Macaca fascicularis: one gene and its partners. The protein of the gene in region 4 purifies or fractionates together with the protein of the main gene of each other region. This does not show direct contact. Links are inferred from orthologs where the notes say so. Each region holds a gene or a part of one and is shown on either strand. Other genes may lie near its edges.

Evidence for each region.
Region 1: the proteins of PPP1CB (region 4) and PPP1R12B purify together in Homo sapiens (affinity purification with mass spectrometry; 4 studies listed by BioGRID and IntAct, with this or other methods). This does not show direct contact. The link is inferred for Macaca fascicularis from reciprocal best matches to the Homo sapiens genes PPP1CB and PPP1R12B.
Region 2: the proteins of PPP1CB (region 4) and TRIOBP purify together in Homo sapiens (affinity purification with mass spectrometry; 3 studies listed by BioGRID and IntAct, with this or other methods). This does not show direct contact. The link is inferred for Macaca fascicularis from reciprocal best matches to the Homo sapiens genes PPP1CB and TRIOBP.
Region 3: the proteins of PPP1CB (region 4) and GSK3B purify together in Homo sapiens (affinity purification with mass spectrometry; 3 studies listed by BioGRID and IntAct, with this or other methods). This does not show direct contact. The link is inferred for Macaca fascicularis from reciprocal best matches to the Homo sapiens genes PPP1CB and GSK3B.
Region 5: the proteins of PPP1CB (region 4) and CAPZB purify together in Homo sapiens (affinity purification with mass spectrometry; 3 studies listed by BioGRID and IntAct, with this or other methods). This does not show direct contact. The link is inferred for Macaca fascicularis from reciprocal best matches to the Homo sapiens genes PPP1CB and CAPZB.
Region 6: the proteins of PPP1CB (region 4) and RAI14 purify together in Homo sapiens (affinity purification with mass spectrometry; 3 studies listed by BioGRID and IntAct, with this or other methods). This does not show direct contact. The link is inferred for Macaca fascicularis from reciprocal best matches to the Homo sapiens genes PPP1CB and RAI14.
Region 7: the proteins of PPP1CB (region 4) and CCDC85C purify together in Homo sapiens (affinity purification with mass spectrometry; 3 studies listed by BioGRID and IntAct, with this or other methods). This does not show direct contact. The link is inferred for Macaca fascicularis from reciprocal best matches to the Homo sapiens genes PPP1CB and CCDC85C.

What each region holds. Positions count from the first base shown.
Region 1 is NC_088375.1:60,186,559-60,190,058, reverse strand, and holds part of PPP1R12B (protein phosphatase 1 regulatory subunit 12B), read right to left. Parts: intron 1,432-3,500; coding exon 1,228-1,431; intron 991-1,227; exon of another isoform or gene 1-990. UniProt on the Homo sapiens protein: Regulates myosin phosphatase activity. Augments Ca(2+) sensitivity of the contractile apparatus.
Region 2 is NC_088384.1:13,901,998-13,905,497, reverse strand, and holds part of TRIOBP (TRIO and F-actin-binding protein), read left to right. Parts: exon of another isoform or gene 1-340; intron 341-719; coding exon 720-834; intron 835-1,830; coding exon 1,831-2,835; exon of another isoform or gene 2,836-2,860; intron 2,861-3,500.
Region 3 is NC_088376.1:163,085,250-163,089,520, reverse strand, and holds the start of GSK3B (glycogen synthase kinase-3 beta), read right to left. Parts: upstream 2,801-4,271; 5' UTR 1,783-2,800; coding exon 1,695-1,782; intron 1-1,694. UniProt on the Homo sapiens protein: Constitutively active protein kinase that acts as a negative regulator in the hormonal control of glucose homeostasis, Wnt signaling and regulation of transcription factors and microtubules, by phosphorylating and inactivating glycogen synthase (GYS1 or GYS2), EIF2B, CTNNB1/beta-catenin, APC, AXIN1, DPYSL2/CRMP2, JUN, NFATC1/NFATC, MAPT/TAU and MACF1.
Region 4 is NC_088387.1:93,467,775-93,471,913, forward strand, and holds the start of PPP1CB (serine/threonine-protein phosphatase PP1-beta catalytic subunit), read right to left. Parts: upstream 2,801-4,139; 5' UTR 2,760-2,800; exon of another isoform or gene 2,723-2,759; intron 2,714-2,722; exon of another isoform or gene 2,506-2,713; 5' UTR 2,419-2,505; coding exon 2,367-2,418; intron 1-2,366. UniProt on the Homo sapiens protein: Protein phosphatase that associates with over 200 regulatory proteins to form highly specific holoenzymes which dephosphorylate hundreds of biological targets.
Region 5 is NC_088375.1:215,599,076-215,603,250, reverse strand, and holds the start of CAPZB (F-actin-capping protein subunit beta), read right to left. Parts: upstream 2,801-4,175; 5' UTR 2,702-2,800; coding exon of another isoform or gene 2,699-2,701; intron 1-2,698. UniProt on the Homo sapiens protein: F-actin-capping proteins bind in a Ca(2+)-independent manner to the fast growing ends of actin filaments (barbed end) thereby blocking the exchange of subunits at these ends.
Region 6 is NC_088380.1:35,050,762-35,055,018, reverse strand, and holds the start of RAI14 (ankycorbin), read right to left. Parts: upstream 2,801-4,257; 5' UTR 2,735-2,800; coding exon 2,681-2,734; intron 2,540-2,680; coding exon 2,409-2,539; coding exon of another isoform or gene 2,393-2,408; intron 1-2,392. UniProt on the Homo sapiens protein: Plays a role in actin regulation at the ectoplasmic specialization, a type of cell junction specific to testis. Important for establishment of sperm polarity and normal spermatid adhesion.
Region 7 is NC_088381.1:167,683,220-167,687,217, forward strand, and holds the start of CCDC85C (coiled-coil domain-containing protein 85C), read right to left. Parts: upstream 2,801-3,998; 5' UTR 2,561-2,800; coding exon 1,762-2,560; intron 1-1,761. UniProt on the Homo sapiens protein: May play a role in cell-cell adhesion and epithelium development through its interaction with proteins of the beta-catenin family. May play an important role in cortical development, especially in the maintenance of radial glia.

The DNA of each region.
Region 1 (3,500 bases), on a different chromosome or scaffold from region 4:
AGCGCAGGGCTGCGCAGTAGTGGTCGAGCTTCACCTGTGAGGCCACCAGGTTGTTCAGACACCTCACCCTCAACTGCAGGAGCTGCTTCTCCTCCTCGAACGTCATGTCCACTTTGGCGCTGGAGGTGACGGTCTTGATGGCAAGGTCATAGGAGTTGGTGGCCAGGACGAAGTCCGCCCACTGGTAGTGGGCACTGCCGCACTCCCACTTCCGGTTGGCCAAGGCCACGCGCTCCTGCCCTATGAGCATCTCCAGGTCAGGCCAGTCCACGGCCATCTTCGGGGTCACCTCCAGGCATAGGGCCGCGTGCGGGGGATGTATGGGCTCCTGTCCTGGGGGCTGTAGCAGTACATGCAGTCAGCAGTGACCATGGCTGCCTCCCCCACGTCCATGAGTTAGACACTGAGATCCAGGGCCTGGATGACCTCACAGACGCTCAGGGTGAACACTAGCTCCGGCTCCTCCTGCACCCACATGCCATTCTCTTGTGATGTCTGCAAATGCATGGTGACCACCTGGCCCTTGACTGAGCAGCTCAAATCCGGTGGCCCTGGGACAAGCGTCTTCTTCCTCAACAGCTGGTTATGTCTGGCCACTCTTCTGGGGCCGGGGACGGGGCAGGCTCAGGCTCCATGGCAGTGAGGAACTCTCGGGCCAAGGTCCCGGGCTGTTCAGTCTCTTCCACCAGGGGCTGTCCCATGTCCTCCAGCAGTGGCAGCTCTCTAAGGTCATCTTCCTCCTCCTCTCCCTCCTTGCCCTCTGCATTCTCGACCCCATCCAGCACCTCGAAGTCCTCGAGCAGTGGGACCCTGGCAGGAGGCGGGGGCAGAGGGCTCAGAGGGTTCAGCACACGATGCCATGCTGCTGAGGGGATAGGAATTGGCCCTCTGGCTCCAGGACCCCTGCCTGCGGTCCTGTGCCCCCCTCCGCCATATTGAAATTTTTATGTTTCTGATCTATTTTTTGCTTTAGGTAAGGGGGCAAGGAAGACTGAACGAACCAAAAGGAAAAGCTATTTTTAAAGTTTTTTTTTTTTTTGGCCAAGTAAATAATAGCAAGCAAATAGCTACTTGATTAAACTATCAGTGTGCCTGTCTCCCTTTAAAGGCTTTGCATTTCCAAAATCAACTTAAGGACTAGAAAATATTTTCATTTGTTCCTAAGATTGAATTTTCATGGAAAAAAAAAACTGCATTGGAATTCCCCCATACCCTCCCAAACTGCACCTTATCTTTGTTGTCTAGTAGAGCAGAAATCCGAGGGCTTGAAGAGGAACGGTAGATGGAAGAGCCTCGGTCCCTTAGAGGTTCCCTGGAATTGGCCACCTCACTCAGCATGTTGTGGCTGCCAGTTTTTCTCAGTCCCAATCTCCACGAAGAAGGAGATTCATCTTTGGGCTCTTCTGGCTTGTTAAAAAGGCCAGAAGAGAACTACGAGAGAAGCAAAAGAAATGAAAAATAAAGGCTCTGATGATTCTTTTTCAGCCTATTTGCCTTTTCCACACTTAACTAAGTTCAGCGAGGCAACATAAGGTAGCTAAGAACAAATACAGGGCAGTCTTTCTGCCAATGTTCCCTCCCTCACCCGGCAAACACTAATAACCTCTCCAGGCTCTTTCTTCCTAAGTCAAAAATAGCCTCGGATTCTTCACACAGTGCTCCTACCTGACAGAGTTGTTATGAGAAATTAAACACCATTTGCTATCCTTGTGCAATTAATACTGACCTGGAACACCAGGAGATTGTATTCGAGTAATGTATCTTCTTCTAACTCACTGTGGAACTGAAAATAAGATACTTTACTTCTCTAGGTCTCAACATGCTCACCTGTAAAATGATGATAATGAGCTTAATCCCTTATAATATGTGGAGACTGGAAAAAATGAGACCAGCTAATTTATCTTTTATTTTTTTTTTTTTTGAAGTAGGGTCTCACTCTGTCGCCCAGGCTGGAGTGCGGTGGCCTAATCAGAACTCACTGTAGCCTTGACCCCCTGGGCTCAAGCGATCCTCCCACCTCAGCCCACCAAGTAGCTGGGACTACCAGCATATACCACCATGCCTGGTTAATTTTCTCTAAATTTTAATAGAGACAAGTTCTCCCTATGTTGCCCAGGCTGGTCTCGAAGTCCTAAACTCGAGCAATCCTCACACCTCAGCCTCTCAAAGTGCTGTGATTACAGGCATGAGCCCATGTCCAGCCAGGAACAGGCTAATTTATAAATACATTTTAAGGTACTATGATAAAGTGATTTAAGTTAACATTGATAAAAATTCTAGAAGCCACTCCACTTAAATTCTGCTAATTTCAAGGAAATTTATTTGATCTAGAGTAGCAGTTTAGAGAGCTTTAGATTTCACTGAGCAGCCTCCAAAAAAAACCAAAAAAAAAAAACCCATAAAACTAGAGGTCAAAGGGTTGCTATCTTTTTATCTTTTAAATTTAATTTTGCCAAAAGAAAACAACATTCTGAAAGATGTTTTCTTTTTGAACTCATCATCACCACCATTTCATTAAAAATGAAATGTTAATATCAAAAAAGAAAGCTTTATGGAAAGCTTACATTGTCCTTAATTATCTCATTTTGCCATAAACTAGGGAAACATCATAGATCAGTATTAGGCCAAGGACCAGTTTGGGGTACAACTAGTCTTTGGAACACAAGCCAACAGACCCTTCCTGAGGTCCAAGACCTTTTCAAGAAGACTTAGGCCTTTCTTCCAATATAAGGCTACCTTTACTGCCTGATACGGTGAAAATAAATAAAACTATTAATCACTAATCTCCAACTCACATAAGATTTTCTCTTTTCATCAGTCATCTGAATGTACACATGTATGTACTCCTTCCAGCTTTAGGGGTTCAATGTCAGCTTTTTACAAGCTACTCTGATTCTAAGGGGGAAAATGCCTTCCCCAGCATCATTTTAGCAAAGTAGAATAAGTATCTTTGTGTGTGTGTGTGTGTGTGTGTGTGTGTGTGTGTGTGTGTGTGTGTGGTGGTGGTGGTGGTGGTGGTGGTGCTGTTGTTGTTGTTGTTTTTGAGACAGGGTCTCACTCTGTTGCCCACGCTGGAATGCAATGGCACAATCACAGCTCACTACAGCCTTGACCTCCCGGGCTCAAGTGATCCTCCCACCTCAGCCTCCCAGTCCCAAGTTGCTGGGACTACAGGTGTATGCCACCATGTCTGGCTAATTGCTTTATTGTTTTTAAAGATGGGGTTTTCCCATGTTGCCCAAGCTGGTCTCAAACTCCTGGGTTCAAGTGATTTGCCTACCTTGGTCTCCCAAAGTGCTGAGATTATAAGTGTGAGCCACTGTACCTGTCTAATTTAGTATTTTTCTATTGAAAAAAGTAGGAAGTCAGACAGGCATCCTTAGAAGCAGTGGCAGTATATGAGGTACACCTAAATGACTGAATTAATGAGTGAGATTACATTTATTGGAAACCTCTTTAATTATTCACAATGATGCTTCTAGGGATAAATAAGTAGCCAG
Region 2 (3,500 bases), on a different chromosome or scaffold from region 4:
GTTTCACTGTGTTAGCCAGGATGGTCTCGATCTCCTGACCTTGTGATCCGCCTGCCTCGGCCTCCAAAGTGCTGGGATTACAGGCTTGAGCCACCGCGCCCAGCCTCAAGAAATCCAAAATTTACAATATGGACAGGAAAAGGGCAGAAAGAATGGAACATGGGGGCACACAGCAGTCTGGCTCTGTCGTCCCACCTCGTGGGCTGTGTGAGATGGAACAAGATCATGATACAAGCGCTTGGCCCCTGGAATGTAAGAAGCGCTCAATAAATGCTTTGCCATTATGATTATGTGTGCCGGGTGCCTGGTACACAGTAGGTGCTCAATAAATCTTAATTCCTGCAAAGACCAGTCTAACCTGTGTCTGGGGGTGGCTAGTGGGCTGCTGGTGGGGTGGTGGTTAGTCACAGGTAGTACTGGATGAGACAGAAGATAGCCATGGTCAGGGCCAGATCCCCCTCCCCACCCAAACACCTCTACTCCCCATTTTTCTTGTCATTTTCTCAAGAGCCTCATGAGGCAGAATAGAGCAGTGTTAACTACCCCCATTTTTCAGAAGGGGAAACTGAGGCCCTGAGAGTCACCCTTACTTAGGGCCCTTCAACCAGTTTGCAGTGGGTCCCTGGCTCTCCCACATCTTCTTTTGGAGGTGGGAGCAGAGGGACTGGGGTGCTGGGAGTGGGACAGTCCCTCAGAGGAGTGGCTGCATTTGCTCATAGGAAGTCCGAGGCAGCGGGGGCCTTCCAGGCCCAGGACGAGGGACGGTCACAGCGGCCCAGCCAAGGCCAGAGCCAACTTCTCCGAAGACAGTCCAGCCCTGCCCCCAGCAGGCAGGTGAGCACTGCCAGCTGTCTGGGGCCCCACACCCCAAGGGGCGGCCACTGCCTCTTCCCTCCTGCTAGAAGCCAGGCAGGGAGCTTGGACAGGAAGGTCCTCTATGAAAGGGTCGGAGTCCAATCATGGGTCTCCAGCTCTCCCCTCTCCCCAAGGGCCAGAAGCTCTTGGCAAATTGCACAAGACCTCATATTAGTCCTTGGAAGACAGCCCCTGTCCCATGCTATCCCCTTCCTTTACTAAGTACTGCTTTTTTTTTTTTTTTTGAGATGGAGTCTTGCTCTGTCTCCCAGGCTGGAGTGCAGTGGGGCAATATTGGATCACTGCAACCTCCACCTCCCGGGTTCAAGAGATTCTTCTACCTCAGCCTCCCGAGTAGCTGGGATTACAGGGGCGTGCCACCACACCCAGCTAATTTTTGTACTTTTAGTAGAGACAGGGTTTCACCATGTTGGCCAGCCTGGTCACTCTTGACCTCAGGTGATCCACCCACCTCGGCCTCCCAAGGTGCTGGGATTACAGGCGTGAGCCACCGCACCTGGCCAGTACTGCTGCCAATACTGCTGTCTTGAGCAGATTTCAGGGAAAGCCTTGATGCATGAATCTGGCTCTAAGGGCCCTCTCTTTCAGGGTGATTTGTATCTCTAACAAAACCCAGGGGGCCAGGCCCACTGCAGTGGAATGGGGTATTGGTGGTGGAGGTTCTGGCACCTGATAGCCCAAGTTGGAATCAGTATCTTTGAGAGGGGTGAGAAGCCAAGAATGGGAGCAGGTCTTTGCAGATCTTTTTCTGGAACCGAGGAAAGCGGGTGAAAGGGAAGAGCTGACCCCCGACGGGGGAGGAGGGCAGGGACCCTGTGTGCTTTTTGGCCTGCTTTCATCCAGGCTGCTGTGTGAGCACAGCCTTGCCTCTCTGGGGGCCTGACTAAGAAAGGCAGAGCCGACAGCGAGGTCCCCAGAGAGAGAGCCTCACCCACCTCCCTACCTCATCCCCAGGTGACCAAGCGCCCTGCCAAACAGGCAGAACTGATCTGGCGGAGCCAAGCAGAGCCCCCTCATTCTCGGAGTCCTGAGAAGAGACCTGAGGGAGATCGGCGGCTCCAGGGGTCCCCGCCACCTCCCAGGACATCAGCCAGGACCCCTGAGAGGGAGCTGCAGACACAGAGACCTCTGGAGAGTGGCCAAGCAGGCCCAAGACAGCCTCTGGGGGCGTGGCAGAGTCAGGAGGAACCGCCAGGGTCCAAGGGCCCTCACAGACACCTGGAGAGGAGCTGGAGCAGCCAGGAGGGAGGCCTGGGGGCAGCCAAAGCCTTGGAGGGAGCATGGGGGGGCCCTCCTGGGGAGTACAGGGAGAGCTGGGGACAGCCAGAGGCCTGGGAGGAGGCGGCCACCCATGAGCCCCCCAGAGAACTAGGGAAGAGAAGCGCACTCACAAGCCCCCCTGAGAACTGGGGAGGCCCCACAGAGTCCTCACAATCCAGGCGCCCTGAGACACCCACTACTGTGGGCTGGGGGGCAGAGGGAGCGTGTCCATACTCGCATGGCCCTGAGAGGCGACCCGAGCTTGACTGGAGGGACCTGCTTGGTCTTCTCCGGGCACCAGGAGAGGGGGCCTGGGCCCGTCTCCCCAGGCTGGACTGGGAGGGCCTCTTGGAGCTCCTGCAGGCCAGGCTGCCCCGCAAGGACCCAGCTGGACATAGGGATGACCTGGCCAGGGCTTCAGGGCCAGAGATGGGTCCCCCAGGCACAAAGGATGTCCCCGAGCAGGAGTCACACAGTCAGCCAGAAGGCTGGGCCGAGGCCACCCCAGTCAACGGACACAGCCCCGCACCGTGGCCCCAGAGCCTGGCCCAGCCGCCCAGCCCTGCCTGCACCTCCACCCAGTGGCCAAAGACCAAAGTGACAAGAGGACCAGCGACCGTAACTCTGGCAGGCCTAGAGCAGACGGGCCCCCTGGGGAGCAGGAGCACTGCAGAGGGCCCCAGTTTGTCAGAGCTGCAGGTAAGGAGGTTCCCCCCTCCCAAGGGTAGCCAGAAAGTCAGCCCCCCACAGCCAAGTCTCCTTGGAAAAGCCTCCCCTTTGAGTAGCCTCAGCTCCTGCATCCCCCTCCAGGCTCAGACCTCAGCCTCCCTGCTGACCACAACCCATCCCGACCACCAAACTGGCCCAATACTGATGATGAGCAACACCGTTTTAAGTGTTTATGGGCCAAGCCCTGATCTGAATGTTTGATGTGTACTTTTACCATTTAGTCTCCTTAGCAACCAAGTGAGAAATACACTATTTATTTGCAGATAAGGAAACTGACGCGCAGGGTGAAGCCACTTGCTGGTGGGGCATGGGCGAAACCCAGATCCGCTCAGTGCAGACCACACTGAGGCCTCAAGCAAGATGCTCTGGCCAGGGCCTGCTCCCCTCCTGGCTCCACCATACCTGGTTTATGTTGTGTCTGGTGGCACACACCTGACCCCACCTGGGACTATAGCCAGTGTGGTCATGCCCCTTCCCCTGGTGATACCCAGGTTCCTGAGTCCAGGACAGCCTCGCTTACCCTCTCTGGCCCCTACAGCTCTTCTCAGACACAGAGAAGGGGGTGCATCAATGCTCACTGGGTTCAGCTAGCTGCCAAAACAGGCTGCTTAAATGAGGCTCGTGTGCAAAGTGGG
Region 3 (4,271 bases), on a different chromosome or scaffold from region 4:
AGGCTCTTAAGTAGTTATTATAAGATTTGTATCATCATAGCTGAAAATTACCCCGGAATTTTAAAATATTTTTCAAATGACTCCATGAAGCGCTTAGAAAGCACGACCCTTCCCTGAAAGATGCATAATCAGCTGTCCTCTTTTCCTACCCCGGCATTCTCTACTTGCAAACCACCGGGGGAAAAAAAAAATTAACTTTGAAAAATAATCTCCCATTCAGCTATTACCTAGACTACCCTGTTTCAGGCTAGTTCCCAAAGCCAACACGAAATGAAATCTTGAGTTCAACTAAAAGTGATCATTTTATGTTGCCTAAGAATATAATCAATTTCACATAACATACATGTTTTTTGTGTGTGTCAGTTCTTAAAATCTCAGTTTTTTAGTTCTCTTCGTTCTTCTAAGCAACACAGTAATTTCTTTGCCCTCATGATGACCCTCTTTCCCACAATAAGGAAACAACATAGATATTTTTGTTAAATTCTGAAAGTATGTTTAAACAAGCTGTCATTAAACACCACATGAACTTCTCCATAAATAGAGATACACTGGAACATTAGATACTTAGTATATACTAAACATTCAAAAGCATACTTCTCAGCACAAACCCAGGACAAGAGTAGTCTATCTACAACCCTGAACACAGTCCAAATATCCCTATTATTTGCAGGACCACAGCCATCTGCAAAAGCCAAAATGGAAAGGACTAAATCCACATTCTTCTAACTAAATCCACAGTTATCTAAATGTGATGGAAACTAACGCAAGAGTATTTTAAATCGTCCTTTTTAAGGAACCCCCCAGAACATTTAACAGGAGCGCAACAGTACTCCAAAATTGAACTTAAATGTAATGAGCCAGTGACAACATTTAACTTACTATTTGGCACTATGACAAAACAAATCTCAATCAAAACCTGGACCTATTAATACTTCCATGTTACCTTTTGATTAAATATAAATTATACGGTGGCAGGTTGGTAATGTCAAAACAGGAAGGTTAAGAGAGAACACATCAAACCACTAATCCAATCGAACACAAATGCATACAGAGATGCTACTGCTGCTGGGTATTTATTGGCTCCCACTAGTCCCTTCTAAAGAGAGAAATCAATGACAGCCTCCAAATGTGAATGGTTACTGAGCAAGTTCATCCACAGATTAAGAACAAATACTATGTGTAGTCATACAGACAAGAAAAAAATGTTGGGAGGGTGGGACGTTTAATGTCTCTATTAAGTATACCAAACTATGATAAATCCTGAGACCTAAAATACCCTCTTATTCCAAAAGACATACATTCTGCAAATGTGCACAATGGTTTATTAATCAAATCTTGTCCTTCTCTTTATTCTAAAGGATGGGCAAGTAAACACGGTCATCACTAACGTGGAAACACTCAAGCACTTGATGAAACTGACTACCAACAGCAAGAAAAGTATAAGAAAGCAGTTTCAAATCGAATCATCCAAATAAAAATCATATTATCTCAATTCAAGGTTAATGAGACCGGGGGAGGGGGTATGGGAGGAGTAAAGAGGGAGCTGCTTCATCCTTGACTGAAGATAGGTTTTGCCCTTTTCCATTGCTTGTTTGTTATATTAGGAAGTCTAATATTTTCAGATCCTGGTATTCCGAGATTTCTTATTTTAAGGGCGAAGTGGAAAAGGGGCGTAAAATAAAATCAATACTCACTGCTAACTTTCATGCTGCCAAAAGCTGAAGGCTGCTGCACCGGCTTGCAGCTCTCCGCAAAGGAGGTGGTTCTGGGCCGCCCTGACATGATCACTCTCTTCGCGAATCACCTTTTCCTTCCTTCCTCCTTTTCTTCCTTTTGTCTTTATGTTGGGGTGTTAGGTTAATGATAAATGCAGCATTAAGTTCTCCCACAGAAGAAAAAGAAAAAGACTTCGTCCTCTTGGTTTTTCACTCCTTTTGTATACTATAAAAAACAAAACAAGCGATGTATTTCTCCTTCAAGACAGATCGGCACGGATATTTAACATATAGATGATTTACGGCTGGGGAAAAAATACAATTCCTTCCCCTCCCTTTCCTGGGAGGAGAGAAAAGAAGGGGCAAATCCTAAAAAAATATGTATCACGTGAAACAGGGGCAAATACTTGATTGAAAATGAGTACTTCGAATATTATATTTTCCTCGGGGATTTTTTTTCCGAGTCAATGAAGAAGGGAAGCGGCGGAAGGATCACGAGTCTCACGCTTGAAGAGAAAGGGGGATGGGTAGGAGGGAGGGAGAGGGAGGGAGGGGGTGGCTCGGAGATGCGACGGGAAACGCTGCAGCTCCGGCAGCCGTGGGATCCGGCGGGCTGACGGCGGGGGCCCGGCGAACTGGAGGGCGGCGGAGTCGCGAGTCAGTCAGAGGCGGGCGGTGGCGGCGGCTCCTCTCCTCATTGCGCCAGGAGCAGCTGCAGGCGGCGGCTGGATCCAGCGGCCATGGCGGCGGCGGTGGCGGAGGCAGCTCCCTTCAGACCCCAGGCAGCGGCTCCTCGACTGCTCCCCATACGCCGGGGACATGGGAACCCGGCAACCGCTTCCGTCCCTCGGGGCCCCCTCCCCCGTCCGCGGCAACAGCTCGGCCGCCCTCCCGCCCCTCGCCTCTGTTCGGTGCCCGCTCAGGAAGTGTCCGCGCTTTGCCCCCAGCCCAGAACCCTGTCAGCGGCTGCGGGGCCGGCTCCTCCTCGCTTCCTTCCTTCCTTCCTTCCTTTGTCACTCGGCCCGGGCGGCGGCGGCAGCGGCGGCACAAGCCCGCATTCGCCCGGGTCAGGGGCTGCTCTGTGTGAGAAGCGCTGTCTGCGCAGCCGCCTTGCACTTCCCCACTCCCCCTCCCCCTTCCTACTCTTCCTCCACCTCCTTCCTCCCCCACCCAGCCTTACACCGCCCAGCGCACCGCCGCCCGCGTAACAGGCGTCTGGGAATCGCCGCCCGAGCCCCACTCTCGCCCGCTTCGGCTGGGAGCCGAAGCCCGAACGGAGCCAATCACGGACGTCGTTTGTTTGCGGCTCCTCCCGGAAAAAGCCGATCGGCCTGAGAAACCAATTAGAAAGTGACGCTGGAAAGCCACGCCCAAAGAGCGGAAAATGCCGAAGGCAGCCGAACGGAAAGGGTGATTTCGCCTGGTTCGGTGGCTGGCTGGAGGAGACATTCGACAATGGCAACAGTGGCCAATCAGAGTCGCCGGCCCTCACGAAAAAGCTTGAAGAGTTGAAGACGGTGAAACCCAGAGACGCTGGTGAAACTGCACGGTTGGGCGCCGCCGCCGCTTTGTAATTGGCTGGAAAACTCCGCTGGGAGCGTACCTCCCTCGGTGATTGGTGAAGGGAAGGGGGCTTCCGAGGACAGTTTGGCCAGTCAGGACTCCCCCTCCCTCTCCAAGGTGGGGAAAAGAAAGCGAAGGGAGGGCGTCTATAAAGCGCCGTCTCATTGGCCGGAAGCTTAGGCGCTGGAGTTGGGGCAAAAGGGAGAGGGTGGAGCTCGAAACTCGCGGCGGTGGCCAATCGGCTCTCACTGCCGTCCAATCGCAAGACCTAGCTGCGGTGTGATTGGCCTTCGGCCTTCGTCCCAGGACCTGGGAGATGCCCGACTAGGGTCGTGGCTGACGACCCGACGGCTCGCCTGCGGCCTCCAACTACGGTGGAAACCGCAAATAGGGACCGCCTGCCCTAGGCGCAGCAAATCGGAAAGTGCTGCGGTCGGCGGCGCTGGGTTCTAAGCGCTCAAGCGAGCAGAGGGGTCGAGGGGTTCTCCCCATCCACAGGAGGCTCTCGGCGGGGCGCAGCCAATTCTGCGCGCCTAAGGCTCTCCTCTGCCCTGGATCGCGTGTGCCGGGTGTCGGCCTCTTCCCCGAAAGGGCCTGACGGACAAAGGGGGCCTTCCCAGCCGGCAGCAAGCTCTCAGACGCTAAAATGGGAACAAAGCTTCTTTGGGCGGCCGCGCCCCGCCCAGCCTCGGGGGCCATTGATAGAGAGGCCCGCTGCGCTTGGTGTGCGCGGCCCGGCCGGGCCTCTGGAAACGCCCATGAGAAATGAGCTCATGCTGGATGCGCGCGCTCCTTGGGCGCAACTGCCCAGCGCAAAACGGGCCCCGAAAGCAGGTGAGGGGAAATGCCGTCAGGCCGGATATCCTGAAGCCTCCAAGGAAATGGGGGGTTAGAGGAGCCCGTGGTAGTTTTGGATCTTTTGGAATTAGGGTGATCTATAAAAGTGCAGCTTGAATAGATTTCATATGTAAGACCAGCGTCCATTGTTCTACG
Region 4 (4,139 bases):
TAGCACTGTCAAACTAAATATGCTTCTGTAGGATGAAGAAGTACTGAAATCTACTGATAGAATGTGTGCTGAACACAGGACAGAGAGAAGGCTGAAAAAGCCTGAAAGCCACTTGTTTAGACTCGGAGCTCCTTGAGTGAAGAGACTGTGTCTTGTTTTAGGATTGCTGGTGCCTGGCAAGGAGGAGGTCAACATGTTAACGCTTGCTAAATTGAGAGAAATGTGTCTGGACTACAATTCTTACCCCCGCCCCCCAAAAAGGAAAAAAGATTGTACAAAACCAAATACTTAATTTGAATTCACAAAAACAAATTGAATCACTTAGACTATTTTTCCCCCAATGTCTTTTCCAGTAACCTTGCACAACCCACTCGTGAAGTTTAAGTACCTGTAATCATAAAAAGGTGCATCTAATTTAAAAGGATACAAACATTTTAAAACATAAATCTGTTTTATGCCTATAAAATAGATGGAAAATGAAATAAAATATAAAGTTGAGATACAAACATATTTTTAAAATATTTAAATTTACAAGCAAAGTTTAAAATATATAAAATTGGGTCCGGCGCGATGGCTCACGCCGGTAATCCCAGCACTTTGGGAGGCTGAGGCGGGTGGATCACGAGGTCAAGAGTTCAAGACCAGCCTGGCCAAGATGGTGAAACCTCCGTCTCTACAAAAATACAAAAAAAAAATTAGCCGGGCATGATGGCGGAGTGCCTGTAATCCCAGCTACTCGGGAGGCTGAGGCGGAAGAATCGCTCAAACCCGGGAGGCGGAGGTTGCAGTGAGCCGAGACCGTGCCATTGCACTCCAGCCTGGGAGACACAGTGAGACTCCGTGGGGGGAGGGGGGGGGAGAGTAGGCCTCTACTTTCCCAAATGTAAACAAGACATATACATTTTTAAATTAACTGTATTTCTCTCATAGAACAGTTACAAAATACAATTTTTCTTCAAAGCAAATTTCTCAAATACCCAGCAAGACGTTCACATCTGAAACAAAGTCTTAGGTAGTGAACACTGACTGCAGGCACCAGGGGGCCTCCCAGGAATAACTTGATAGTAAAGGAAAAGGTAAATAAGAGTTCCTGGTAAAACTTTTGCTTCCTATTCAGTCTTAAGACTGCTGGATGGCTTTCACTTCTGGAGCAAATATACAGTATTTAGTTACAGAACGGCTACACACAGAACTTGGGTTTTAGATACCGACACATTCGTTGAAAAAAACGAGTTACCCCTCCCCCATTAAAATATTCTTTGATGATTTTCCAAATATAAGTACATGTTGCTTTACTGTAGCAAACAATTATCTTAAGGTAATTTGAAAGCAAACAGTACATATGCAATCCTTCGATGGCGGCTAACAAAGAGGCCTCTAAATTGTTTAAAAGGGATTAATGGCTTTTCTACACACTCACAAAACAATTAGTGATGACGAACATTTTAGGGTAGAAGGACTGTTTGGCATTTAACTTTGAATAATATCCTGCAATGAATCAATACATTTAACTCCTGGCTTTCCCCCCCCTTGCCTTCCCACCAACATAAAACTATTCGATAAGAACACCAGGGCCCGGAAAGTTCAAATGCTGCGTAGACTTGCAAATACCTTTCGAACACAAGACAGGCTTTAAAAATAGATCTTCACTAAGTTGTGCAGAAATTAAGCTCTGCTCAAATCAAACGCAAAAGCCAACATCTACATACATCACATTTCTTACGTGCATCTTCAACCTGATCAAATATTTTGTCTTACAATTTTTTTAGGCCGAATAACAAATGGTAGATAAATTCCCGCTAATTTTATCCTCTCTAAGAAGAATCCATTCTATGGCATCGTGTAAAAATGCAGAGCAGACGAAGCATTCCTGTTACGGACAGGTTTTTATATATATACATAAAATTCACTCGCGGAACGACAATCGGAGGCAGCCAAGGGCAATGCACAAAGAGAGAAGAAACACTGATTCCACGGACACACAAAGCCCGGTGGCAGGCATCCTCTCCCCCTCCTCGGAGGAGTCACCGGAGGCGAGCACGACGGCGCGCGGAGCCCGGCGGCCTTTCCGAAAGGCTGTCTCCCGCAGACCCGCTCCGCACAGCTGCCGGCCGGCGGGCCTGGCCACCAAGGGTCCGCGGGGACGGCCCCCTCTCCCCCGATTTCCCCTGACCGCGCTCCCGGAGGCCGCTCCCCGGCGCCCAGCAGCCTCCTCGCCCCCTCCTCGGCTGGTCTGCCGCGCCGCGCTCCCAGAGACAGCCTCGGGGCGGGAAAGAGGTCCCCTCGCGTTTCGGCGGCGGAGGTGGACGCAGGGGTCGGCGGCGGCGCCCGACCTCCCTCCGTCCCACGGCCCGGCGCGCACTCACCCTCCAGCAGCCGGGTGATGAGGCTGTCCACGTTCAGCTCCCCGTCCGCCATCTTGTCGGCACAGACTCTCCTTCCCAGCAGCGGGAACAAGGGCTTCTCGGCGGCGGAGGCTGCGGCGACGGCTCGGCGTTCTCTCACCTACAAGTCACGCGGCGTTTCGACCCCGGCTCCAACTCCCCCTTTTCCCGGGCCCTCCCCCCACCCCCTCCCCGCTGGGTAGCGAGAGCGCGCGCACACTCGGAGGCACCCACGGAAAATAAATAAATAAACAAGAGGGGCCCCCACAAACAGGGCCGCGTCAGACCAAGGCCGCCACCTCCTCGTCCTCGGCACCGCCCAGCTCCGCAAAGCTCACCAGCGCCGCCGACGGCCCCACCCGCAGCGCCACTCACTCCGCACGTCCCTTGCGCGCCACCGCGTCACGCAGCTCTCCGCGCAGGCGCCCGGCGCGCTCCCCGCCGAGGTTCCCCTCGACGCCTGGGCCTCCGCGCAGCCGCACTGGAGCGGCTTCTGCCGCCGCCGTCTTCGCGCAGGTGCGTCGCCCTCTCTCTCTACGTCCACGGCGCCGAGTTTCGCCGCCGCGGCGCAGGCGCCAAGGAGGTGCCCGGCTTTGCCGCTCGGAGGAAGCCCCGGTTACGCAGAGCGGGCTGGGGCAGGGCTCACCTTCCTCCTCCTCTGCTTCACTGGCGCTTTCCAGACGTGGTGGTTGCACCCTTTTGGCCTCGCTTTCCTTTTCATGGCTTCATACCTTAGATCTGCAAGCAGTTCCTCGTGTTTCTTCCTAGCCGGGAAACGCGAACTGCAGCGTTTGGAACCCGGGTTTGCGCTTGTGAAAAGCAAGAAGGGGTTAACTCTGCTGGAGTTCGACATTGCAAATAAAGGTCTTTACCCCCAGTGGTTCTACAAAATTAGTTCCGCAGGGATTCTGTTTGAAAGAAGAGTTAAAGTGGGCCCTGTAGGAGTCAGCAATAATACAATTTTACATGGGTGCATATGGCTGCCTGTGTTTAGCGCTTTCACACATCTTGTATCTCCATCCACGCCGTGGGTATCTTTTTTTCCACAGTGTGTTTCTGTTGCTGCTTCCAGTATATTGCTTAATCATCCTACCTGGTAATTATTTATGCATTTTTCTCCCACTCTCGACTCAGCTCCTAGGGGATAAAAACACACTAACTTATCTTTGTGCCCACAGCACCCACCAAATATTTCCATCACGTAATACTGCTTCTAGAAAGGCAGGAGGAGAGGCAGTCACGCTAAGGATCTAGGCAAGCCAGATCTTTTGTCCTGTTTTAGGAGGTGGCCAACCCTTACTTATTCCACAGGTGTTTTTCCAGAAACTCAGATCTGATATTGCCCCAAGTCCAAGGCAGTACTTCCCCCACTCACATATCACTAATAGTAGCTAACATTTGTTCATATCCCTGTTATGTGCTGTGCCACTGTTTTAAATGTTACACCCGCGTTACCTCATTTAATCCTTATAACAGCCCTGTGAGGTAGGTACTATTATTATCTCTGCTTTGTAGATGGGATTTACCGAGGCACAGATGGTTAAAAAACCTAGCCCAAATCACACAAATAAGCAGCAGAGCTGGGATTCAAACCCAGGCATGTAGTGCTAGAGTCTGCATTCTTAACAATTGCGATATTCTCCCTCTCCGTGAATGTGGGCTGAGATGCTGAAACAGGCATGTGCTGTGGGGGAGAAGCAGCTTTGTCCAACCAAGTGCTTTCCAATGTCCAGATGACATAGAGCTAGGATTTCC
Region 5 (4,175 bases), on a different chromosome or scaffold from region 4:
TAGCTGTATTCTTTACCATCGAATCTACTGAAAATGAAAAACACGGTGATCTGATTTCATTTCCCTTCAATGCAACCTCACACCACCACTTCTGTCCTACCCCAACCATCTACACTGGCTTAATGGTCAGAGTATTCAAATAGGGGATAAACCTAACAATAAGCAGTCAGAAATTACAAGCCTAAGGGATACGAAGAACAAGTGACTGAGAGAATGAATATGAAATCCAAGCAGGTAAGTTCATGGACACAGACACATCCCAAAGAGAACATTCCAAGTGGTTTCTTCCAATGCCAGGTGCTGTTCTAGGCCCCACGGATACAGCTGTGGAATACACAAGACAAAAATCTCTGCCCTCCAAGAGCTCATTCTGGCCCATGCTAAATATGCCTGTACCACCATACAGCTCTTTCGCTATAACATGATTTTCTATACAAAGGATTTAAAATACAAACCATGGGCAATAAATACTGCTCCTCCCCCCTTGCCATGTTTGAATATCCCATTCTATGTTTTTCAAACGGTGTCATTAAACCTCCTGACATATAAGCAGCTTGGTACAATGGGAATAACAGTTTAGAGGCTGCCAGATGGGCTTCTACTGACCAACGGTGGTTCCTCCACTGGCTGGGCAATACCTTGAATAAGTCACTGCACCTCCTGAGCCTCAGCTGCCTCATCTATCAAATGCGGACAGCCCCAGAAGGGCTTCGTGTGGATGAAACCAGCTTGTACAGGTGAAGCACACCACAGTGACTGGCAGACAGACAGTTCCTCCACCCTTTCCAGTCTTTTCAGATGACAGCTGAGTGCAAGACTCCTGAGAAGCTTCAGGTGTCATGTGCTCCTCCTGGGGGACTGGGGCACTTTCCCATCACCTGGGGAGCATCACCGCTTCCTGCCGCATACTTTGTCTTCAGTGCACACTCAGTAACGAAACTTCAGCCCACTTTCAAAGTCCTCACCCAACACTGCCCTGGAGAAGTCGTGCTCCACCCAGACCTGGGGTCAAAACAAGGCCTCCCCAAACAAGGAGTTTTCAGCCAACGTCACTGGAGAAATCCGAAGGCCTTAAAAGTGGCATTGCCCCTGTTTTTAATCAGCATACAGGAAGGTATCAAAAGAAAGCTTAACTCATCTCAACTCCTCACCCTCGTTCAGCAGCAACATCCCTTGACTAAACAAGGAACCAGGGTCCTCAAAACACTTTGAGGCCCAAAGCCCACATACAAATATGCTCCAAAAATCCCTTGACCCTGTCAGGAAGTTCTCTGGCCCTTCCAACCTAAGTGCTGGGCCTGTCCTGCGGAATGATCAAGAGGTAGGAGTGCAGGTCTATCTGTGGGGGCCTATGTGAAGCCCCAGGTTCCTCAAAAGTCTGGATAGCATCTGCTTTCTTTACCAAATCAAACACTACGAGTGGAGCCAGCACTCTCCCTCGGAGTTCTGCTCACCTGATCCAAGGGACTTCCATAATCAGCAGTTCCCACCCTTACAAGCTGACAGTTCAGAGGGAAGGGGAGGCTGCGCCTGCTCGGGTGCATGGTGTCCAGGCCATATGCTGGATCCTGGGCCTGCTGGCCCCCCAAGGCCATGGCCTCACAAGGGCGATTGTGCGTTCATCCTTGTCCTGTGGGCCACCCACCCTCAGCCCTCAGCTCCCACTCAGGCCTGGGCGCCGCGGACCCCGGCCCGCCCTGCAGGACGCTTCGCAAGCACAGCACCCACGGCGGCGACCTCGAGAAGGGCCCGCAGCGCAGCGCGCTGCCTTCTGGGCACACCGATGCCCGCCTTTCCCTCGCTGGCTCCCAAGCGGCCTCCCTAGAAGGGGCAACTGAGAAGGCACAGCACCGGGACCACCCCATCCCTGCTGGAGAGTTCCCCTCGCTTCCCGAAGGCTGCAAAGAAGGCGCGCCCCAGGTAGAGGGAAGGGTACCCTGGGTCGTGCACGGGGCAGGGGGCAGAACCCTGATGAGAGGGTCAGGGCGGAGACCGAGCGGGGCTGACGCAGGTTACGCTAGGAGTGGCGAGAAGTCCAGGGAAGGGGATCACGGTGGGGAGGGGGCAGTGAGGTCCAGGCGGGGCCATGGGCGGAGGAGAGGAGGTCCAGATTTAAGATCACAGAGGGATGAGGAGATTCAGGCTGAGGCCACGGAGAAGAGGGGAAGCAAACCTAGACCGCTGCAGGAAGGGCTGACCGGGGTCCAGCCTGAGGCCATGGAGAAGGCAAGGGAGGGAGGGAGGCAGCGGCCTAGCCTGGGCCATGGCAGGGAGAAACGACGGCCTAGCCTGGGCGGGAGAGACGGGGGAAAGCAGACCTAGCCCTAGACCGGGGGAGGAAGGGGGCCCACGCCAGGGTCACCGCGGGGGGGGGGGTGCCTGGCTGGGGCCACGGTTCGGGAGGGAGGGTCTAGCCTGGGCTATGGGAGAGACCAGCCTGGACACAGAGGTGGTGAGTGGGACTCCAGCTTGTGCCAAGGGCGAGGGCTGGGAGCGGGGGCAGGGTCACTGCCACCCAAGTCGTCCGCGCCGGCGGCACCCTCCTGGGCGGGGAGGGACCGGGTCCACCCAGGGTCCGGGACCCCGCCCCTCCCCCACCCCGGGAAGCCACCAGTCCCGGGCCACGGATGGGCCGGGGGAGGGGGACGCGAGTTCCGGAGGGGCCCCCGGGCCGGGGAGGGGGCCGTGCGGCCTTTACCATGGTGGCGGCGGCGGCGGCGGTCCCGGTCCCGGCGTCAGTGGCTCTCCCCCCCGCAGCAGGGCCCGGCGCTTCCACTTCCCCGGGTGCCCAGGAGTGAACATCCGGGTCAGCGCCCCCCTCCCCCCGCGCCGGGCCGCCGCCACCTTCCTTCCCCGCCCCGGCCCGGCCCGGGCCCGCCCCCCACGCCGCCAGCTCGCGGCCAATGAGCGCGCGGGACTGCGGCGATCGCCAAGTATGGAGAGCGGCGCGGGAGGCGGGCGCCGACGGGGTGCGGGGGCGGGGTCTGCGCGGCGGGGCGGGGAGCGGCGCGGCTCGCCTGCCGGGGGTTCCGGGCCCGGGGTACGGGGCTCGGGCCGGAGGGGTGTCCGCGCTGTTGGAGGTCCAGTACCCGACTCTGGGCCTGCAGCAGCGGGTGTCGGCGAGGGAACCGCGCCCCACAGTCCCCGCGGGCGGGGATGCGGAAGGCACCGGGGCTGTGAGGCGACCTGCCGTCTGCGCCCCACCCCGTGCACGCGCTCACTCCTGCGGCGCACCCGGAACTGCCGCCGAGCGGAGCGCGGCCCGGCCCGGCCGGGCCCAGCCCAGCCCAGCCCATCCCAGTACGGGGCGAGCGCGCCGGGAGCTGGGCCGGAGCCCAGCGCTGCCGCTCGCTACGGCGGGACCTGGAGCGCCGCGCTGCACCTGAGCCCGGGCAGGAATTCAGGAGCCTCGGGCTGACACCATTTATTCAGCACCTACTATGTACCAGGCCTTGTTTAGGCACCGGAAGATAACAGATGAATAATAAGACATAAAGATCCCTGCACGTATAGCTGCAGACAGAATAGCTGTGAGGATGACACAGGTAGAGATTAGAAAATTAAGTTCAACAGGCCCGGCGCGGTGACTCACGCCTGCTATGGAGGCGAGGCACTTTGGGAGGCCGAGGTGGGCCAAGGCCAAGAGATGGAGACCATCCTGGCCAACGTGGTAAAACCCCGTTTCTACTACAAATACAAAAATTAGCTGGGCCTGGTGGTGCCGACCTGTAGCCCCAGCTACCCGGGAGGCTGAGGCAGGAGAATCGCTTGAACCCGGGGGACAGAGGTTGCAGTGAGTCGAAATCGCGCCACGGCACCCCAGCCTGGCGACAGAGCAAGACTCTGTATCAAAAAAACAGCACTTTGGGAGGCCGAGACCGGCGGATCACGAGGTCAGGAGATCGAGACCATCCTGGCTAACACGGTGAAACCCCGTCTCTACTAAAAAATACAAAAAACTAGCCGGGCGAAGTGGCGGGCGCCTGTAGTCCCAGCTACTCGGGAGGCTGAGGCAGGAGAATGGCTAAACCCGGGAGGCAGAGCTTGCAGTGAGCTGAGATCCGGCCACTGCACTCTAGCCTGGGTGACAGAGCGAGACTCGGTCTCAAAAAAAAAAAAAAAAAAAACAGAAAAGAAAAAGAAAATTAAGTTCAACAAATGCTAACTGTTATGAG
Region 6 (4,257 bases), on a different chromosome or scaffold from region 4:
GTGATTCGAATGCAGAAATGCAGAAGCGGCCAAGATTGTGAACCACTAATCTAGGATGAGCAGGGTAGGTGACTGGTTTTATCAAGGGCCCACTGTGGGCTGGGTGCTGTGCCACTCTTTATACAGAGCACCTACAGCTGAAGGTGCCCTTCCCAAATCCCCTTAGACCACTGGTCCCCAATCTTTTCGGCACCAGGGACCAGTTTTGTGAAAGACAGTTTTTCCACAGACCAAGTATGGGGGATGGTTTTGGGATGATTCAAGTGTATTACATTTATTGTGTATTTTATTTCTATTATTATTACATTTTAATATATAATGAAATAATTATACAACTTGCTGTAATGTAGAATCTGTGGGAGCCCTGAGCTTTTTTTTCTGGAACTAGACGGTTCCATCTGGGGGTAATAGGAGACACTGACAGATCATCAAACATTAGATTCTCATAAAGAGCTCGCAACCTAGATCCCTGGCATGTGCAGTTCACAATAGGGTTTGTGCTCCAGTGAGAATCTAATGCTGCCGCTGATCTGACAGGAGGCGGAGCTCAGATGGTAATGCGAGCAGTGGGGAGTGGCTGTAAACACAGAGGAAGGTTATGCTTGCACAACCACTGCTCATCTCCCGCTGTGAGCAGTACTGGTCCCATCTGTGGCCTGGGGGTTGGGGACCCCTTAGACTTTTTCTGGCCATGACCATGGTGTCCCTTAGAGTAGCACTCAATTTTTTCTTTTCTTTTTTTCCTTTTGATACAGAATCTTGCTCTGTTGCCCAGGCTGGAGTGCAGTAGCGCAATCTCAGCTCACTGCAACCTACGCCTCCTAGGTTCAAGTGATTATCCTGCCTCAGCCTCCCAAGTAGCTGGGATTATAGATGTCTGCACCACACCTGGCTAATTTTTCTATTTTTAGTAGAGACAGGGCTTCACTCTTTTGGCTAGGCTGGTCTCAAACTCCTGACCTCAAGTGATTCCACCCGCCTCAGCCTCCCAAAGTGCTGGGATTACAGGCGGGAGCCACTGTACCCGGTCAGCGCTCAACCTTTGAGGGAGAGGAGATAAGGGATAGGTACCCTAGGTTCCTCACACCTTGGGTGGAAAAACTCTGAAGCATACTATAAACCTGGGATAAGGAAACCCTTTTTGTAAAAGGCTAGATAAATACTCTGGGCTTTGTGAGCCATGTAGTCTCTGCTATAACTACTCAACTCTGCCTTTGTAGTGTGGGAGCAGTCATGGACAATGCCTAAATGAATGGGTGTGGCTGTGTTCCAGTAAAACTTTATTTATAAAATCAGACAGTAGCCAGGCATGGTAGCACATGCCTGTAGTCCCAGTTACTTGGGAGACTGCGACAGGAGGATTGCTTGGGCCCAGGAGTTCAAGTCTAGCTTGGGCAACATAGCCAAACCCTGCTCTAGGTCTAAACAGATTCCCAGAATCCTCTTCAAGAAAGAGTGACAAAGTTGGAACCTGTCAATAACACACCTTAAAAATACAGGTTTCTTCCTTTCTCATGCTTCCTGGGATCAATGGCTACAGAAATTACTTGCATTGTATGTATGTATACATCCCTAAATAATATATACTACTGCTTTGTGTGTTTCACAGTAATTACACAATAACCGTCATTTGACATGTTAAAAAAAAGATATGAAACTACTTGCACTTAAATCCTTGTCTCAGAGCCTGCTTCTGAGGGCATCCAACCTACATTATTATTTCATTTTATACTCATAACTACTCTAACAGTTAACTAATACCGTCTCCATTTTAGAGTAAGGAAACTGAGGTTCAAGGATTACACAAGTCATAAGTGATAGAGTTCTTGTGAGACGTCTATCTGGCTCCAAAGTCAGTGCTCTCTCCACAACACTGCCAACGTCAGAGTGGATATAAACAAATACATGCACATGCACAAACACACACAAATACTAATCAAGTGTGTAGCTTTAATTACGGCAAGCAAGAGTACTACACACAGCAAACCACAAAGCAAAATCATACTACTCACGTACTTACTGATCTATGCTAAGGAAGATCAAATAAATAAACAAGTAGTTTAAGATAAATAAACAGTAAGGTTTGAGGGTCATAGGAAAATACTTTTTTCTCTTTTATGCTATTTCTTATCGAAGACAGAATTCATGTCTCACCTACAACTGGTTGCAATCTTGGGAGGTAAAACCTTTGCTAATACCTGGAAACATGTATACCCATTCGAGGTAAAGCTCCATGTGTGACTTGGAATTTGGAGAGAAAGGAACTAGATTAAAATATCTTCTCACATATTTCAATATGGGAGTGGAGCGGGAGCACATGTGAAATTCCCCTGCGGATACTAAGGATTCCAGAGAACATCCCCAAAAACCCATAACTGGCATATCTGCAAACCAGTGTTTCAGCTTACGCGGTCTTGCCCTCGCTGTCGTGTTTGGTGGCGCTGGCCCCCTTCTTGCCGAGCAATGAGGCCACCTTCTCCGCATCTCCATTCTCCACGGCCTGCAGCAGTCTGTCATCATTCTTGTTCCACTCATTGGTCTATAGAGAAAGAGAAGAAACAGAGGTTGTGAACAACATTGACCACAGCTGCACTGACCAGCAGGGCTGCGGTCCTCGCAGCCCCCACCCTCCCATCACTCAAATCAAAACCTGCTCCCAAAGGAGCATGTTTTAAAATACCTTCCCCTTCACCATGGAGACACCCAAGAAGGCCGCTTTCCCAAAAGAAAACATAAATAGTGCAATGAAATCACAGCTAGTCACCAAAGTCTGAGATAAAAGTTACTTCTTTTAACTAACACTAGGAATATGAAGCAACTTAAAAAGACCTCAAGGCCGGTTTACACATTAGCTAATTTCCAGCTGAACTAGACAGCTGCTCCTCAGCACATTGGCCTTTGACCTCATCCACAGCTCACTCTGTTCACCGTGTTACAGAACCAAACCAGCAGCTCAAGGTTACCCGAGGTTTACAGACACACGATTTTTCATCAGCTTTTATTGCCTTCTTTCTGGTCTGTTTACTAGGCCCTGAATTTTCAGCTGGATACTGATTTTAAGTAGTTGTCCAGGCTACCGACTCAACAAAGTCTCACCAGAAACAAAACTTCTTCCTGAGCAAGCTATTAAACATCAAAGAGCTTTGAGCAAAGCCTCAATCACTGTCAATGCCAAACCCCAACTGAATAATTCTGCAAACCACAGTAACAGTAAGGCACTCATATATGCAAAACTGGTTTCTACACTTAGGAGGGAAAGAGATGATTTCTATACAAGAGCAAATGGGCCCTCAATATAAGACTAAGAAAGACTTTAATAAAAGGCAGCAGTGAGCCATTGGAGGTTTGGGAGCAGAGGAGGGAGAGAATTATAGAACCAGTGACGGAAGAGTCATTGGGAGGTGTCGAAGCACATGGGATTAATGAGGGAGAGAGGGGGAGGAAGGAAAGATGCTGGGCACATCAAAGCCCCTGGGCACTTTGCGAGCCCGGGCTGATTTCCAGTCATCTCCTGCACCAGGCCCCTGAGCTAAGCCCACTTTCTGAGCCCTTCAGCTGTGGACACCACATCCTGAGAGAGACTCCTTTTCCCTTCCCAAAGCTTTCTATAGACTCTGCTTCCTTGCGGCCTCTGAAGATATGAACCTCCAGGTATTTCGTATTAATGGCTTTACGATGGACCCCTACAAGGAAGCAGACAGAGGAGATAATGAAGATTCAAAAGCAAAAAAGAAGAAATTTTATAGGATGACAGTCTTCCATGGCCCCGGGAGTATGTTCCCAATCTCTGTACTGATGGAAATGAGGAAACTCAACAGGTCTTTGTCCATCAAATGTCTCAGTCACCCTCCCAACCCTAGCCCATATGTACAGCCTTAAACAAAGCCACAAGCCAGGGAGGGATAAAAGAGATGTGTCCAGAATTTGCATCTCTGAACATCTCAGGACTGAACCATTCCCAGTTTTTAGGACTCCGTCCTCCCCCACAGCCAACACTGAGTGCAAATGCACAGTAAGAACGAAGCAGGTTTGAACAAAAATCAGCAGCTTGTTCTCTGGGCTGCGTGAACTTGAAGTCCAGAAGTCCGGATTGACACATGTTGTGTGATCTGATGTCACCCATAAATCGTTCTGTGCCTCAGTTTCCCCAGGCTTTGGACTGTACGTCCTCTGTGATTCCGCCAAAGCTCAAAATTCTTATTACATAAAATTCCCCAAATTCTGCTAGGGATGATTCTAGAACAGTACTGTCTACCA
Region 7 (3,998 bases), on a different chromosome or scaffold from region 4:
CTTTGCCCAAAACATGACAGAGACTTTCCTGCAAGTATGCTCTAAACACTCCAGCCCTCCAGTGTCCTGCAGAGAGGCACTCTCGCCAAGTGTCATTGATGACGCAGCTGAAAACCAGAAACATTTCATTTTCCAGCCACGAGACTGCAGCAGTCTGCTCCTTTGTACTGCCCTTGGGGAAACCGAGGCCCAGATAACTGACCCTTCAAAAGCCCCCCAGGACCGCGAAGTCAAAGGGGTTGAGGTACTCTAAACAGCCCCAAAATGAATTAAATCACCTAACTTTGCACTACTCTCACTGCCCTCAAGCAGCCTGTGGTGGGAGGTGGGGGGTGGATACAGTGTTACAAAGAGAAACCTGAGTTGTAGCCATAGATTGCTAATCAGTAACAAAATATCCCTCTAAACCCAGTCAGTCCTACCTTGAACCCACAGGCTCAGGATGGTAAATAAAGGAAAAATATGCTGCACTGCCCCCGCCCCACCTCCATGGATATGTCTCCCACCCCAGCCCCCACCCCATCACGCCTGCAGAGGCCACTTGGCCACCAAACCAAGGAGCAAACGTCCCTCCCCACCTCAGGCTGAGGGGTCCTGGGGAGGGCAGTGATTTCAGGCCTAGACACACTTTCTCTGAATTAGGAAAGGCTTTAAAGGCAACCAGAAAGGGCTGTTCATTCTCCACCTTCAGGCAAAAAGTTCAGGCAGTTGTAACTACCAGCAGAACTGGAAGCCAAGCAACCAAAAAACGTGTAAGAACAAGGAGGCCCTGGATCCACCGGCAGGGACGAGAAAGCCGGCAGGGAGCAGAAGGGCTGAGCAGGAGGCTGGGAGAGGGAGCAGCCTGCAGGCTCCCACAGCCCCAAGCTGGGGCCACCCTCTGCACTGGGCGCAGCAGTAATATGGGCGTGGAAGACAGGCGCTGACAGAGGCCAAAGGTCCACCCACCCACACCCTGGTCACGGATGACCATGGCACTTCCTATAAGGCGACCAACAGTTTATAAATCCCTTCAGACAGTTTATCTCCACCTCAAATCCACGAGGCAGAGGTCATCATCTCCATTTTACAGACAAAGAAACGGAGATAGACAGAGGAGAAAAACTAGAATCCGTTCCAAATACATCTCCCTCGGGAAAGTCTTAGAGTCTCGGCTGAGAAAGGTCCCGGGACTAGAAGGGCGGAATTTATGGCAAACCAGAAAGGCTCTGAGCCCCAGGCCTCTTCCCAGCTGCCCCTGGGTGTCAAGCAGCTGCCTGTGCACCCTTCCAATCCCCGCACCCTACTGCAGAACTCCAGCCACTGCACACACGTGGACACTGCTTGGCTTGGAGGACACCTGTTGCTGCAAGAGGGGAAATTCACCTGCGCTCAAAGAGGCCTTGTATTCTTTTCTGTTCAGAACTTCCCGCTACTAGGCAAGGATTTCCAAGGCTGGGATGAGGCGCCCACCGCCAGCCCAGCAGTGACAGACGCCAATTTTGGCAACTACACCCACTAGAAACTTTCCTGCGACCGGACCGGCAGCAGGTTCTGAGCTGAACAGAAAGACGCTCCACGACTGGACCGGCCCACAACCGCCCAAAGCCCTACTTCGGGTGAGTGCGGGATCCCCTGGTCCAGGATCCATGACAGCTGGAGGAGGAGTCTGGAGTGGCGGCCGCACGAGTGGGACCGCCAGGGACCACCTCCTCTCGCCGCAGCCTGGGTAAGGGGCTGCAGCCAGGGAGACCCGCGCTGCCCGGCCCGTGTAGTCCTTACCGTGCAGACCGTTGGGGATGCTGCGGTGGTGCGGCGGCGCCGACAGGTCGTCCAGGGACCGACGTGTTGCTCCTGCCTTGCCTTCGGGGGCCTTGTGCGGCCCAGGGGGCAGCAGCGGGGGTGGGACATGGTGGTGGTGGTCCGGGCTGCCGCCGCTGCCCGCGCTGGACGTACTGCTGCCGTCGCCCACGTCGCGGGCCCCCGCGCCGGGCGCGCCACCCGCCAGCGGCCCGCTCAGGCTGGCCTGGCTGTCGATGGAGCTGCGGGAGCCGGCGCCGCCCCCGCCGCCGCCGCCGCCGCCGCCGCCTGAGCCCCCCGTCGCCGCCAGTGCCGCGCGCTCCTCGTCCAGCAGCAGCACCAGCTCCTTGAGCTCCAGGTTCTCGCGCAGCAGGGCCTCCTGGCGCGCCTCGAGCTCGCGCAGTTTCTGCTGCGAGCGGGCCACCTCGTGCCACACGGCGCCGGCCGCGTGGCGCCCGAAGCGCTGCCACTCGCGCGCCAGCTTGCGCCCCTTCTGCCGGTCGTCGTCGAGGAAGCAGCAGAGCTCGCGCAGCTCCTGGTTGTCGTCCTGCAGTCGCTGGTTCACGTCCTTGAGGCCGCGGATCTCCAGCAGGTGCTGCTGCAGCCGCCGGTTCACGTCGCGCATCAGGCCGCCGTGCTCCAGCATGAGGCCCACCTTCTCGCCCTCCGCGCGCCGCAGCCGCCGCGCCAGCTCCTCCTTGCTCCAGCGGAGCAGCTCCTCGTCCGGCACCTGGCTCAGCTCCTCCGACGCCGCCGCCGCCGTCGCTGCGGGCTTCGCCATGGCGGGGCCGTCACCGCGGCATCGCCCTCGCCCGGCCTGCGCTTCCCCGCGCCGGGGCTCCGCTGGGCCGGTCCGCGCGCGGGCGGGGGGCGGCCGGGGGCGCGTGCGGCCCGCCCTGCAGCCTTGCGCGCCCTCTCGCCGCGCCCGCCGGGGCTGCCCGGGAGCCCGCGCGCCTCGGGGCTGACGAGCGGAGGCGGCTGCTGCGTCGGCGGCCGCGGAGCCGGGCGCTCTCAGGGCTCTGGCGAGGCAGGCGGAGGCCCGCCCCCGGCCCAGCTCCGGGAGCCCCCGCCGCCCCGCCCACCCCGGGCGGAGAGTGGGCGGGGCTCCGAGGCCCGGCCCCGCCCCCGAGGGCGACGGGGGAGCAGAGGCGCGGCCCCCGCCGTCCCCCTGCGCGGTGCGCCCGCCCGGCCGGTGCCCTCTCAGAGGCGCGTTCCGGCCGCGGTCCCGCCCTCCCGGCCGTGCGATTGGGCCGCTCCGGGGGTGTGCGGGAGGGGCGGGGCACGCGTGGGGGGAGCCGCGGGGGTGGTACGGTCCATCCGCGGGGTTTCCGACCCCCGCCCGCAGCCGGCTCCCGGCGGTTCAAGTTTCTGCGCCCAGAGGACGCGGCCTTGGCCAATCCCAGGGCTACAGGGCGCTTTTAAAATGCAGGTACGACTGCGGGGAGGGGGACGGTGGGAAAGGTAGGGCCGGGCTTCCCTTAAAGGCGACGCGCAGAAATAGCAGTCGAGCCCCCTCCCCGGCCCGCGTCCCCCGCCCTCCTCCCTCTCCCCAGATAAACAAATACCCACGATCTGGGCGACGGCGCCCCTTCTCCCTCCCGGGGGCACCAGAGTTCAGGGCAGTCGGAGACTCAGCGAACAATAGGACTGTGACATGGGGGTCGCTCTTCCCCACGGCAGGGCGGCTCTTTGTCCCCTTCCCTGCCCCCAGGCTCCTCCGCCCCCGTCCCCACCCGGGTCTCCTGCCGGAGCGCGCAGCAGGGCTGCGTCTCCACTCCTAGACCGGGGCTAGGGCCCCGGCAGGGCCAGGGCCTTGCCAGCCGCGTCCCGCAGCGTGGTCGGTACTCTCTGCCCCGATGGGGCGAGAGCGCCGGGAACCTGCCCCCAGCCCGGAGTGGCGCTCGGAGCCACGCTCCCCCTCCGCCCACTCGACCGCTAAGTCCCTGGGATTCGGGAGATAATCTGCAATTCGCGGGGTGGAAACCACTGGGAAGGTGGGAAGGTCTCCCACAGGGTCCTGAACGCCGGGGTCCGGGGGCGCCGAGCCGGCCACAGAACTGCCCACCGGCGGCCCTCGCGGGACCCCCGTCCTTCCCACTGCCTGTAAGTCTGTCTCGTTATCCTCCGGTCTCCAAAGCGCATTTACGGCGCGTCTACCGCCGGCAGGCGGGGTGGAGGGGTGTCCCTCCCCCGGAACCTGCAACGAGATCAAACCCGCG